3 separate regions of the Mus musculus genome follow, and all the other regions are reported to be linked to region 3. The links are microRNA targets in miRTarBase. Many come from high-throughput screens and were not tested one by one. Region 3 holds a microRNA gene; each other region holds the end of a gene's coding sequence.

What was found. Region 3 holds the annotated microRNA mmu-miR-330-5p (UCUCUGGGCCUGUGUCUUAGGC, at 1,818-1,839, opposite strand). A microRNA usually pairs through its seed, bases 2 to 8, with sites in the 3' UTR of a target mRNA and lowers its output. Matches are read on the target gene's strand: a 7mer-m8 pairs with bases 2 to 8, a 7mer-A1 pairs with bases 2 to 7 and ends in A, and an 8mer does both.
Region 1: the mRNA of Ephb3 is a reported target of mmu-miR-330-5p. Seed matches in the 3' UTR shown: 8mer at 2,235-2,242 and 7mer-A1 at 2,215-2,221.
Region 2: the mRNA of Fbxl16 is a reported target of mmu-miR-330-5p. Seed matches in the 3' UTR shown: 8mer at 1,674-1,681.

What each region holds. Positions count from the first base shown.
Region 1 is chr16:21,222,107-21,225,331 of GRCm38, reverse strand. Ephb3 (Eph receptor B3) reads right to left here. Exons shown (of 16, transcript NM_010143.1): 15 at 3,028-3,183; 16 at 2,028-2,924. The coding sequence ends at 2,816. Among named protein-coding and RNA genes, the nearest start is that of Ephb3, 19 kb to the right of the region's middle.
Region 2 is chr17:25,819,119-25,822,369 of GRCm38, forward strand. It overlaps Fbxl16 (F-box and leucine-rich repeat protein 16), which reads left to right. Exons shown (of 6, transcript NM_001164225.2): 6 at 256-2,144. The coding sequence ends at 404. Among named protein-coding and RNA genes, the nearest start is that of Wdr24, 2.9 kb to the right of the region's middle.
Region 3 is chr7:19,180,074-19,183,324 of GRCm38, reverse strand. Mir330 (microRNA 330) reads right to left here and starts at 1,860; the gene lies at 1,763-1,860. Eml2 (echinoderm microtubule associated protein like 2) reads right to left here. Exons shown (of 22, transcript NM_001347582.1): 5 at 1,588-1,616; 6 at 926-1,055.

The sequences.
Region 1 (3,225 bases), not on the chromosome of region 3:
AGGATGTTTTTTGCTCCACACCCGGCCTGGGCTCTGTGTAGGCTGCGCTTCCTACTACACTACACTACCCCAGGTCTTACTCAGCACCTGGCCTCAGCAGGAAAGGGCCTGCCTCTCCCCTCTTCCCCACTGGCTTCTCTTTTAAATCATTGACTGGGGAGAGCTAATCTGCCCCAGAGTGTGTAATTAACGGAAGACTAGACAGACTGAGAACTCCATCCCCCCCTACTCCTTATCTGCCTGTAGGGAAGCTGGACCCCTCCTGGGGTGCTCTCTCTTCCTCTGCCAAGACCCTGCTTCCCTCACTACTTTGTTCTGAGGTTCTAGGGTCTGAATACATCCCAGCTCTCTAGACAAAATACCAGTTGGCTCTATCAGCTGGCAGGAATGCAGTGACTCTTGCAGGCCCCTCCCCTCATTATTTCTGAGTCCTGGGAAACCCTGCAGGTACCCAGGCTAAGAGGGGGGCTAGGGTGGACAGACTGAGGGCATGAAAACGGGTAATGTAAGTGGTGTGTGGATAATGGAATAGGCTTAGAGTACGTGCATGTACTCTGGCTGACAGTGGCAGGAGACTGTGGGAAGACAGGGGAAGACATTCATACCCCCATAAAGAAAGAAATCATGCAGGCTTCAGTGGGCTGGACGGAGCTGGAAGAGCACTTGAGCACCTCTAGCCTTAGGCTCCAGTCCACCCTGCAGATCCTGGCCTCGCTCTGAGTGGATCTCCACAGTCAGCATTGTGTGGGGTGGGACAATGGAAAAATTACCCAGGAGACAGGAGCCACAGACCTCTCACTGATCCAGAGGGCCACCCTCCCAAGAGTAGGAAGCAGGCTTGGGACCTGTGAACTCTCAGCAAGGGAATGGCAACCATGCCCACATCCCTTCTCCTGTACCCCTATGCCCACACCACTGACGACAGCACTGGAAGATGACTGGGGAGCTCCTGCCCACCCCCTCCCTGGAGCATGGGGGCTACTGAGGATCCACGTTGTGGGTGCACCCCCCTCACGGTGAGTATGTACTGCAGGACTCTGGGCACCGAATGCAAGGGGTAGAGAGGCAGTCTTGAGAACCTGTCTGCCAGGGGTTGGTGAAGGGACCCAGGAGGAGCCAGAAACACCAGACTGAGGTGGCCACACTTGACAACCCTTGTACATGCCCATGTTACTAGGCCTTCCTGGTCCCTCCCAGTGAAGGGCACTCTAAGTTAGGATTCACAGATATTTCAGAAAGCTCTTCTAGGCAGCACCTATGGTTACTCTGGGAGGACTGCATCTGTTATACCCTGCCCGCTTCTGTTTGTTGGTCCAAAGGGACCTGCATCTCTCCCTGTGAGGGTGTCCTCCCCTGCACTCTCACCCTGCCACCACTGGTTAAAACAGACCCAGGGTGCATACACTCACTTCCTCCAGCCCATTCCATTACCCAGGATCATGGATGTCCCTTTTCATTTCCATATCCTGACACGCACAAGTCTTCCTTTGACTCCAGAGACTTCAGACCTCTTCCGGACTCTTGATATGCATCTCCCAAGCCTCTCCAGGCTGTCTATAGACAGGGGTTTCCAGCCTCTGGCTCTAGTGCTGGATGGGAACTGTGGCCAACTTACTAAACATCTCCCTCTTCTCCTGGCTGGGTTACTGAGTTGAAATAAGATGTGGATGTAAAATTGGCTTTGGCTCCAAGACTGGGTGCACTCAGTGCTTAGTGAAGGAAGAGGAGCCATACTGAGACCCTGGGGAGTGATTAACCCTCTAGCTCTCCCTCAGGGACTCTACAGAACACCACGCAGACTCCAGAGCCTGTCCCCCAGCCCCAGAAACAAGGAACTTCTGAGAACTCTATTAGATGCTCAAAGCAATGGGGCTGAACTACAGGAGAAATCGGGCCTGGATAGCCTCGCTGTAGTTTCCCACTGACCCCCAGGAAGTTGTGAAGGTCTAGCAGCCCCCTAGTTCCCTCACTGACATGAGGAAATCAAGGAAACCTGCTTTGGGAGGAAGAACGAGCAGGGGCAAGAGTCATCTTATTGCCTTTATTTTGCTGTCTGCCCAGCTGGCCCCACTACAGGGCACAGGGCCAAGCTTGTACACACTCATGCTCTCTGTGCAGGCAAGCATGTGCACAACACACACATACATACCCCCACCCCCGTCTTTCACACACACACACACACACACACACACACACACACACACACACACACAGTCTCTGGCTCTCTGAGTCAGTCTCTGGGAGGCACAGGCTGCTTCTCAGCCTGCTCCTGCCTGCCCTTTTATGACAGCACCAAGGGTAGGCAGGGCCCTCAGCCCCCATCAAGTCCCTGTGCAAACTGGAGGTACCAGCTGGCTTCAGGATGGGGCACCATATCTCCCCATCCCCAGAGTCTCCTCCTCCACTTCCTGGGGGAGGGAGTACTCTCTGCTTACCTGGTGGGGTCAGACCCCTGCCAGGGCTGGGGCCTGAAGAACCCAGGCTTATCCCCACCTGACCCTACCAGGACGTCCATTACTGAAGCGCAGCCCAATCTGAGTTGTGAAGACTCCCCACTGGAGAGCAGGCAGGCCTGGGCCCCAAGGCATCTGGGGAGGGGACATCACCCCCTCTTCTAATCCATCTTCAATATGAAGAGGTTTGGGGCACACTTCCTGGGAGGGAGCACAGGCCTGGAGAAGTCACAGCTAGGGTCCTCCCCCAAACTTCCATCTTCTGGGCCACAGCCAGAGGCCAGGCATCCAAAAGTCCAGCTGGCTGGTCAGAATCCTTGTGCAGTCCTGGGGGGGCACCCCCCCCTCGTTGGAGCTGAGTGTCAGACCTGCACAGGCAGGGTCTGGTTCATCTGCAGCCGCATGTCCTGGATACTGCAGAGGATCTTCTTCTGGTGCCCAGCCAAAGTGACCCCAATCCTTAGCAGATCTCTAGAGACAGAAAAAAATGGTACTCAGTCCCTCCCTTCTACCCGCGACGCTGGGCTCAGCCAGAGTTCCTGCCCAGAGCCTGCACCTTGAGCGGTACACTTACTCTGCAGTCATCTGGGCCACCAGGTCAAAGGATGCAAACCCAGCACCGACAAAGCTCTCTTTATACCTCCCCATCTTGATGGCATCTAGCCAGTCACCCACTGTCGTGAAGGTCGTATAATCTGGGACTGTGCGGTCCAGGAGGGGCTGGGACATGCTGTGACAAAAAAAAAAGAGTGACCTGGTGCATCCATGGAGC
Region 2 (3,251 bases), not on the chromosome of region 3:
ACGCCCTGCTCAGATCTACCCTGCATCAGGCCAAGTCTGAACACATCCTTCCCTGGTGGAGGTCCCGCCCATCCTGTCAGATTCCCACCCCTCCACGCCCGGTACAGGTCCCGCCTCATTCAGCAAGCCCAGTAGAATCCACCCCTAGCAGGTCATTGTCCTCTTCAGCCTTTCCCACCTGCCCAGCCCAGTCCAGTCCTCCCGCCAGGCGGAACTGAACTGCTGAGCGGCTGTCCCCGTGCCTCATGCTTGCAGGCTGCCCGCTCCTAACTACCACCGGGCTATCTGGCCTCGTGCAACTGCAAGAGCTGGAGGAGCTGGAGCTGACCAACTGCCCTGGAGCCACACCCGAGCTCTTCAAGTACTTCTCGCAGCACCTGCCGCGCTGCCTCGTCATTGAATAGCGCAGGCTTCCCGACCCGGCCGCGGGAACCGGCCACGCCCTGGGCAGTAGCCCTTCTTCCATCCCTGCCGGAGCATCTCTTCTCCGCCCTGCGCTGGAGGCGGGGCAAGCTGAGGGAAATCCCGCCCCGTGCCTCCCTTGCTCCTCTGCTCAACTGCTCCTTCCCTGTCTGGGGCAAGAGGCAGAGGGGCCAGCCCCACGCACGCACGCACACTCGGGGACTTTGTGCATGCCCCTCGTGCCCGCACTGCACGCCCGCCCTCCACCATGCCACAGCCGCCGCCATCACTCGCCCGCCTTCTGGGGGTCTAGGTCCTTTTGGGGATGCTTTGAGTGCATATGCCCTCACTGGCTTCCCCACTTCATTCTGCTCTCTGCCTCCCCTCGCTGTCCCCCCATCCCGGGCAGGGCCCAAGGGGATGGAGGGATTGGTCCCCCAGGACTTAGGGGCCTGGAAGAGCCCCCAAGGGCCTCCCACATCTTCCACTGCACCGCGCCTGGAGCCCTCCAAAGGGTATGAGGCGCCACAGGCCACTGCCAAAGCCATGGCCCCCTGAGGAGCCCAACTCCCCATGCCCACCTGACCTAGTGGCTTCCCTTCTTCCTTGTTGCCATATAGGTCAGTTCTTGTCCTCTGTATCCTGCGCCCCTACCCCCGTATCTCCTTCTTTCCCCCTGGCCTACAGATCCTTGGGCCCTGGCCAGGTTGGGACAGCTTTAGGAGGACGCAGACCTTGGAACAATCAACATTAGCCTAACCGGTGCCCATCCACCTAAGTGCAAGGGTGGAATAGGCACCTGGCAGACCCCAATCTGGAGCCACCCACAGGGCTATCAGGCCTTGGGATCAGCCCACCCATTTGAGCCCCTACCCCAGCTGAGCTCAGGCCTCTCAGCACTGTGCTTCTCCCTGGATAGGTCTCCTCAGGTGGAATCTGCAGAGGGCCTGGCCATGAGTCAGGGTCAGTACTGACCAGCGATTCTGATCTCCCAGTGGCCAGCACCCCCTTCACACCCCAGGGAAGGAGGGCTCCTTCCCAGTCCTCCTTTAGTTCTCCCAGCTTCCAAAACCTTTGCCTGCCCAAAGGGTTTGTGACCATGTTCTGTCAGGTCTCAAGAAATTTGGAAGTCCTAGGGGATCCTGGCATATAGGTGACAATACCGAGGAAGGGACTGGGAACCTTCCCTCCCAACCTTGAACCCCAGGAGACACAGCACCCACAACTAATCTTGGGACACCCCTATCTGGTTGGAAGAGAGTAAACTAATTCCCAGAGAGCCAGAGGGAGAGAGAGAGAGAGAGAGAGAGAGAGAGAGAGAGAGAGAGAGAGAGAGGAGAGAGAGAGATGCTGTTGACGAAAAGTAAAGATTCAACAGCCCAAAGAGTTCCCTGCCCCTGCAGTGTTGGCCAGGGAGGCCCCAGGCTGAAGTGGTCAGGAGCCAGATTTGTCAGCCCCTCTTCCCACAGTCCCCCAACAGGGAGGGGGAAGCTGTCCATTTGCCCAAAGTATTAATGCAACTGAAGCTGTGATATTTCCAATGACTGTAGGAGGAAAATTTAAGGGGAGAGAGGAACACAAACAAAACCAACCAACCCCTAAAATCATTTTCTTATTGTACATAACGACCTCATTCTCCTGTATATGCGGAAGATATAACCTTATATTTGGTAAGTGTTTCTTGTGCTATTTTATCACGTGACCTGTTTATAAAAATATATATTAAAAAAGTTGTAAAAACACAAGTGGGTTATTATTTTTTGGTCACCTGACCAAGTTGGAAGGGATAACTCTGCCCTGGATGGCCCAGGTCTCTGGGTCTTCCTGCCTCCTAAATCATTAGAGGTACTCCATAAACAGGAGAGGTTGGAGGCTCAGGGCTGGACTGGAACCTTAGCAACTGACGAACATAAGTTCTCTAATGTCCTGAATGCACAAAAGGGAACAATGTGTTTGATGTCAAAATGTAGGTCTTCCAAAGGATCTAGGGGCGGTGGTGGCGCACACCTTTAATCCCAGCACTTGGGAGACAGAGGCAGGCGGATTTCTGAGTTCAAGGTCATCCTGGTCTACAGAGTGAGTTCCAGGACAGCCAGAACTACACAGAGAAACCCTGTCTCAGAAAAAAAAAGAAAAAGAAAAAGAAAAAGAAAAAAGAAAAAAAAAGAAAAAAGAAAAAAAAAGAAAAAGAAAACAAGGATCTAGGATCTTGCTATCCAAGAGCAGAAATGAGCCTTATCTTCTGCACGGGGTCACTAAGTGAGGGATTGTGATGTTCTAAAATAATCCAGTGATGCTGGATAGATGGCTCGGTAGTGCAAAGAATCTACTGTTCCTACAGAAGACCTGGGGTCAGTTTCCCAGCACTCACGTCAGATGCCTTTAAGCTGCCCAGTAACTCTAGCTTTAGGGATATGATGTTCTCTGGCCGCCTAGGGAACCTGAACACACATTGGTACAAATAAAAACTCACACAGGCACATTTTTGCATTTACATGTGCACACACTCAAATAAAGATTAAATAAATAAATAATCACAGACTGCTAGAAGATCAAGACTATTGTGTCCACCTCAAGAGAAAGGGCAAGTGCTGAAGGGAGGACTGCTAGCCAGCTTTGTCCTTCTCTGCAATGCCTTCTGTCTTGCTAAAAACCTTAGATTATATTCCTAGAGCTAGCCACCATGGTATGTTCCCTTATTTGGCCACTTCTACTCCTGAGGCTGGCGATGAAGGCCCAGCTATCAAAGTATTGAGGTCCAGCAATCAAAAGCCCCCATGGGTTCACTTAATTAACCTGTCTAATCAAAATTAAATACCTCATTCTAACATGGTGTTTCTCCCTCTTAC
Region 3 (3,251 bases):
TTGGTTTTTCAAGACAGGGTTTCTCTGTATAGCCTGGCTGTCCTGGAACTCACTTTGTAGACTAGACTGGCCTCGAACTCAGAAATCCTCCTGCCCCTGCCTCCTGAGTGCTGGGATTAAAGGCATGCGCCACCACGCCCGGCTCTCATTTTTTCTTAGTCCTGAGTGTTTTCCTTGAATCTTTGCTTGCTGGTCCCAGTGCCTCTTTTTGAGAAACACTATCATTCCCCAGTGTGATACACCCCCACTGAAAGTGTCTAATAAAACTATTATTGTAGCTGGGTGGTGGTGGCACATGCCTTTAGTCCCAGTGTTCAGGAGGCAGAGGCAGGGGGATCTTTATGAGTTTGAGGCCAGCCTGGTCTACAGAGTTCCAGGACAGCCAGGGCTACACAGAGACCCTGTCTTGAAAAACCAATATATATGTATGTGTATATGTATGTATGTGTATGTATTTATGTGCGTATATACATGTATGTATGAATGTATATATGCGTGTATGTGTGTGTTAACCAATGTGCCCCACCCTCCAATTCTTCATTCCTGAGCTTAGCCCTGTGAAGACCTTCCACAGATAAACAGATCACAGAGTTTACACTGTCTGACTGATATCCATGAGAGCCAGATGTGGTGGTGCACAAAATCCTGTAATCCAAGCCCTTGAAGGTGCAGGCAGGAAGACCAAGTTCTCAAGATCATCCTTGAGTTAAACATTCCGCTTCAAACATTCCCTGAATGAGTCACTCACAGCAGGTGAGTCATTCTAGCTACTCTGTTTCCCTCTGGACTCCCTTCACCTTCCGACCCCCCACTTCCCCCACTGTGGCCTGAGAAAGCCCAGCTGTAGCCCTGCCCTGCGCCTCCCTCTCCGTACCAGGACTTACCCTCTTCCAAGAGGGCAGAAAGGGAGCTAGTCAAAGGATACACCCAGTCTAGCTTTAGCCGGCTGGAGGGCAGCTCAGAACGAGTGTCCAGGCTATAGGTGGGCGCCAGTTCGTCCGGGATCAGCATGGGCACAGGGCGTCCCCGCAGAAACATCTTTACGGATCCCTCCTCTGCCAAGACACCCTCGGAGGTCAGTTTCCACACCAGCCCCTAGGCTTGTTTGCACTCCTCTCATTGTTATTATTATTATTACTAACGTCATTATTATTATTTGAGACAGCTAGCCTGGAATTTAAGACAGGCTTGGAATTCACTCTGTAGTCCAAGCTGGCATGGAACTCAAGGTGATTCTTCTGCCTCTGACTCCCAAGTGCTGGGATTGCAAGTGTGAGCCATACAGCCAGATAATTATATAGAGATAGAATCTCTTTATATAGCCCAGGCTAGCCTTCCTTCAACTTCCAAAATGTCTCATGCTCCCAAATGCTGGGTTACTAGGTTAGACCAAACCTCCTTCCATCCATCCTTTCTTCCCTCCCCTTTCCTTCTCTCTTCTTTGCTTCTCTTCCTCCCTGTTCCCCTCCATCTTCCTTTCTGAACAGGTGCATAAACTGAAGGCAGACAACCAAAGGCCCAGAAGCCAGGACCCCAAGTCTTCAGCAGGCTACCATCATTGAACTCACGCCCATCCTCCACACTTACCCATGCTGAAGATAACTTCTTTGGTTTTCCTGTCAGGAAAAGATGCAGGGGAGAGAAAGAGGGGTAGGGGAGAAGAAGAAAATAAGTGTTTTAGCAAGCATATGAGATAGGACAAGGAATACTTCCCCTAACCCCGGGGCTCTGCAGGTCTGGAACGAATAATCAGGCGAGTAAGGAGCAGAGCGCTACCTCTCTGCAGGCCCTGTGCTTTGCTCGTTGGATCTTGAAGAGCCTAAGACACAGGCCCAGAGAGGCAGAGATCGCCAAAGGGTCACACAGCACGATGTGGCAGGCACGCGATCCTGGAAGACCGGAGTCACTAGGGACCCTCCCTCCTAGGCAACAGCAACAAAACGCTCCCCGGCGCTCCTTCCCTCCCTACCCAGCAACACCCCAAACTTCAAGCAGCCAGGAAGACGATGAAAAGTTCAGAGGAAGGGGCGTGTCTCCACCTTCTCTTCCTGAGGCGAGAAGGGCAGGAGGAGGGAGGAGGGGTGCTGAAAGAGGGTCTCACCCAATTCCAAAACTACTCATGGCGGCTGCTGGCGGAGCTTCGGGTCCGGGGTGGAGCCCGGACCGGCCCCGCCGCTTCCGGCCCTGGGAGTCGCCCGCGCCACCGCCCCTGCCCCGCCCCCCGCGGCTGACCCCTGCAGGCGTCAGGTGTCACTGAGTCCCATTGCCGGGACCAAGGAATCTAGACACAAGACTCTTTGTATAGGGTGAGGGGTAGATGACGGTTGATAGCACAGACTCAGAGGTGTGCTTGCCTGAGATCAGATCTCCCCAGTTCTGCCTCTTTTTCAAAGTATGAACAAGTTGCCCAACTTCTACCTCGGGTTCCTCATTTCAAAAACTGAATAGAATAGCTACACTTCCTAGCATGATTGTGAGGTTGATAGCTGCTAATGCGGGCAATCATCTGACTGAGAATGTGATTTTATTATTTCAGGAGACTTGGGTTTTGTCTTTAGACTTACTATAGCCTACTCTTAAGTCCTTGCTCCTTCTACGTCAGTATAGTTCCACCCTTACACATTGAGCCCTGCCTCTAGATACTTGACCACGTCCACCACTGCACACACCCACACCCTCTTTCTAACTTAGTACTGGACTAGCTCTGTCTTCTTGTCTGTGTTTGTCTCTGTCTCTTAAGACAGAGTCTCAAGTAGCTAGGTTGTCTTCAAACTGTAAACAGCCAAGGACGACCTTGAACCCGTGATCTTCTCTCCACTTACCAAGTCCTGGGATCAGAGCTGTGAACCCCCATGCACCGTATGTATGTATGTATGCATGTATGTATGTATGTATAAATCTGAGACAGGGTTTCACTGTAATCAAGGCTGGACTGAAACTTAAAGTGTAATCATGTAACCCAGTCTGGCTTCAAACTCCTGGCATCCTCTTGCCTCAGCCGCCGTTGTTACAGGCTTGAGCCATGGTCACTCCTGGCTTCCCTCTTAATAAACAATGTCACATCCACCTCTTTTCTTGGGTCGTATTAAGCAATCTGACTCTATCCAATTTCACTGGACAGGGTCCCAACGTTTTCCAAGCTATCCTGTAAGATCTGACACACACACCTAAGCCACGCCCAATCTTAAGCCACACCCACTATACCAAGCAACCTCTTTTGAAGTAGGGTTCTTGAAATGATAGGTCCCCGC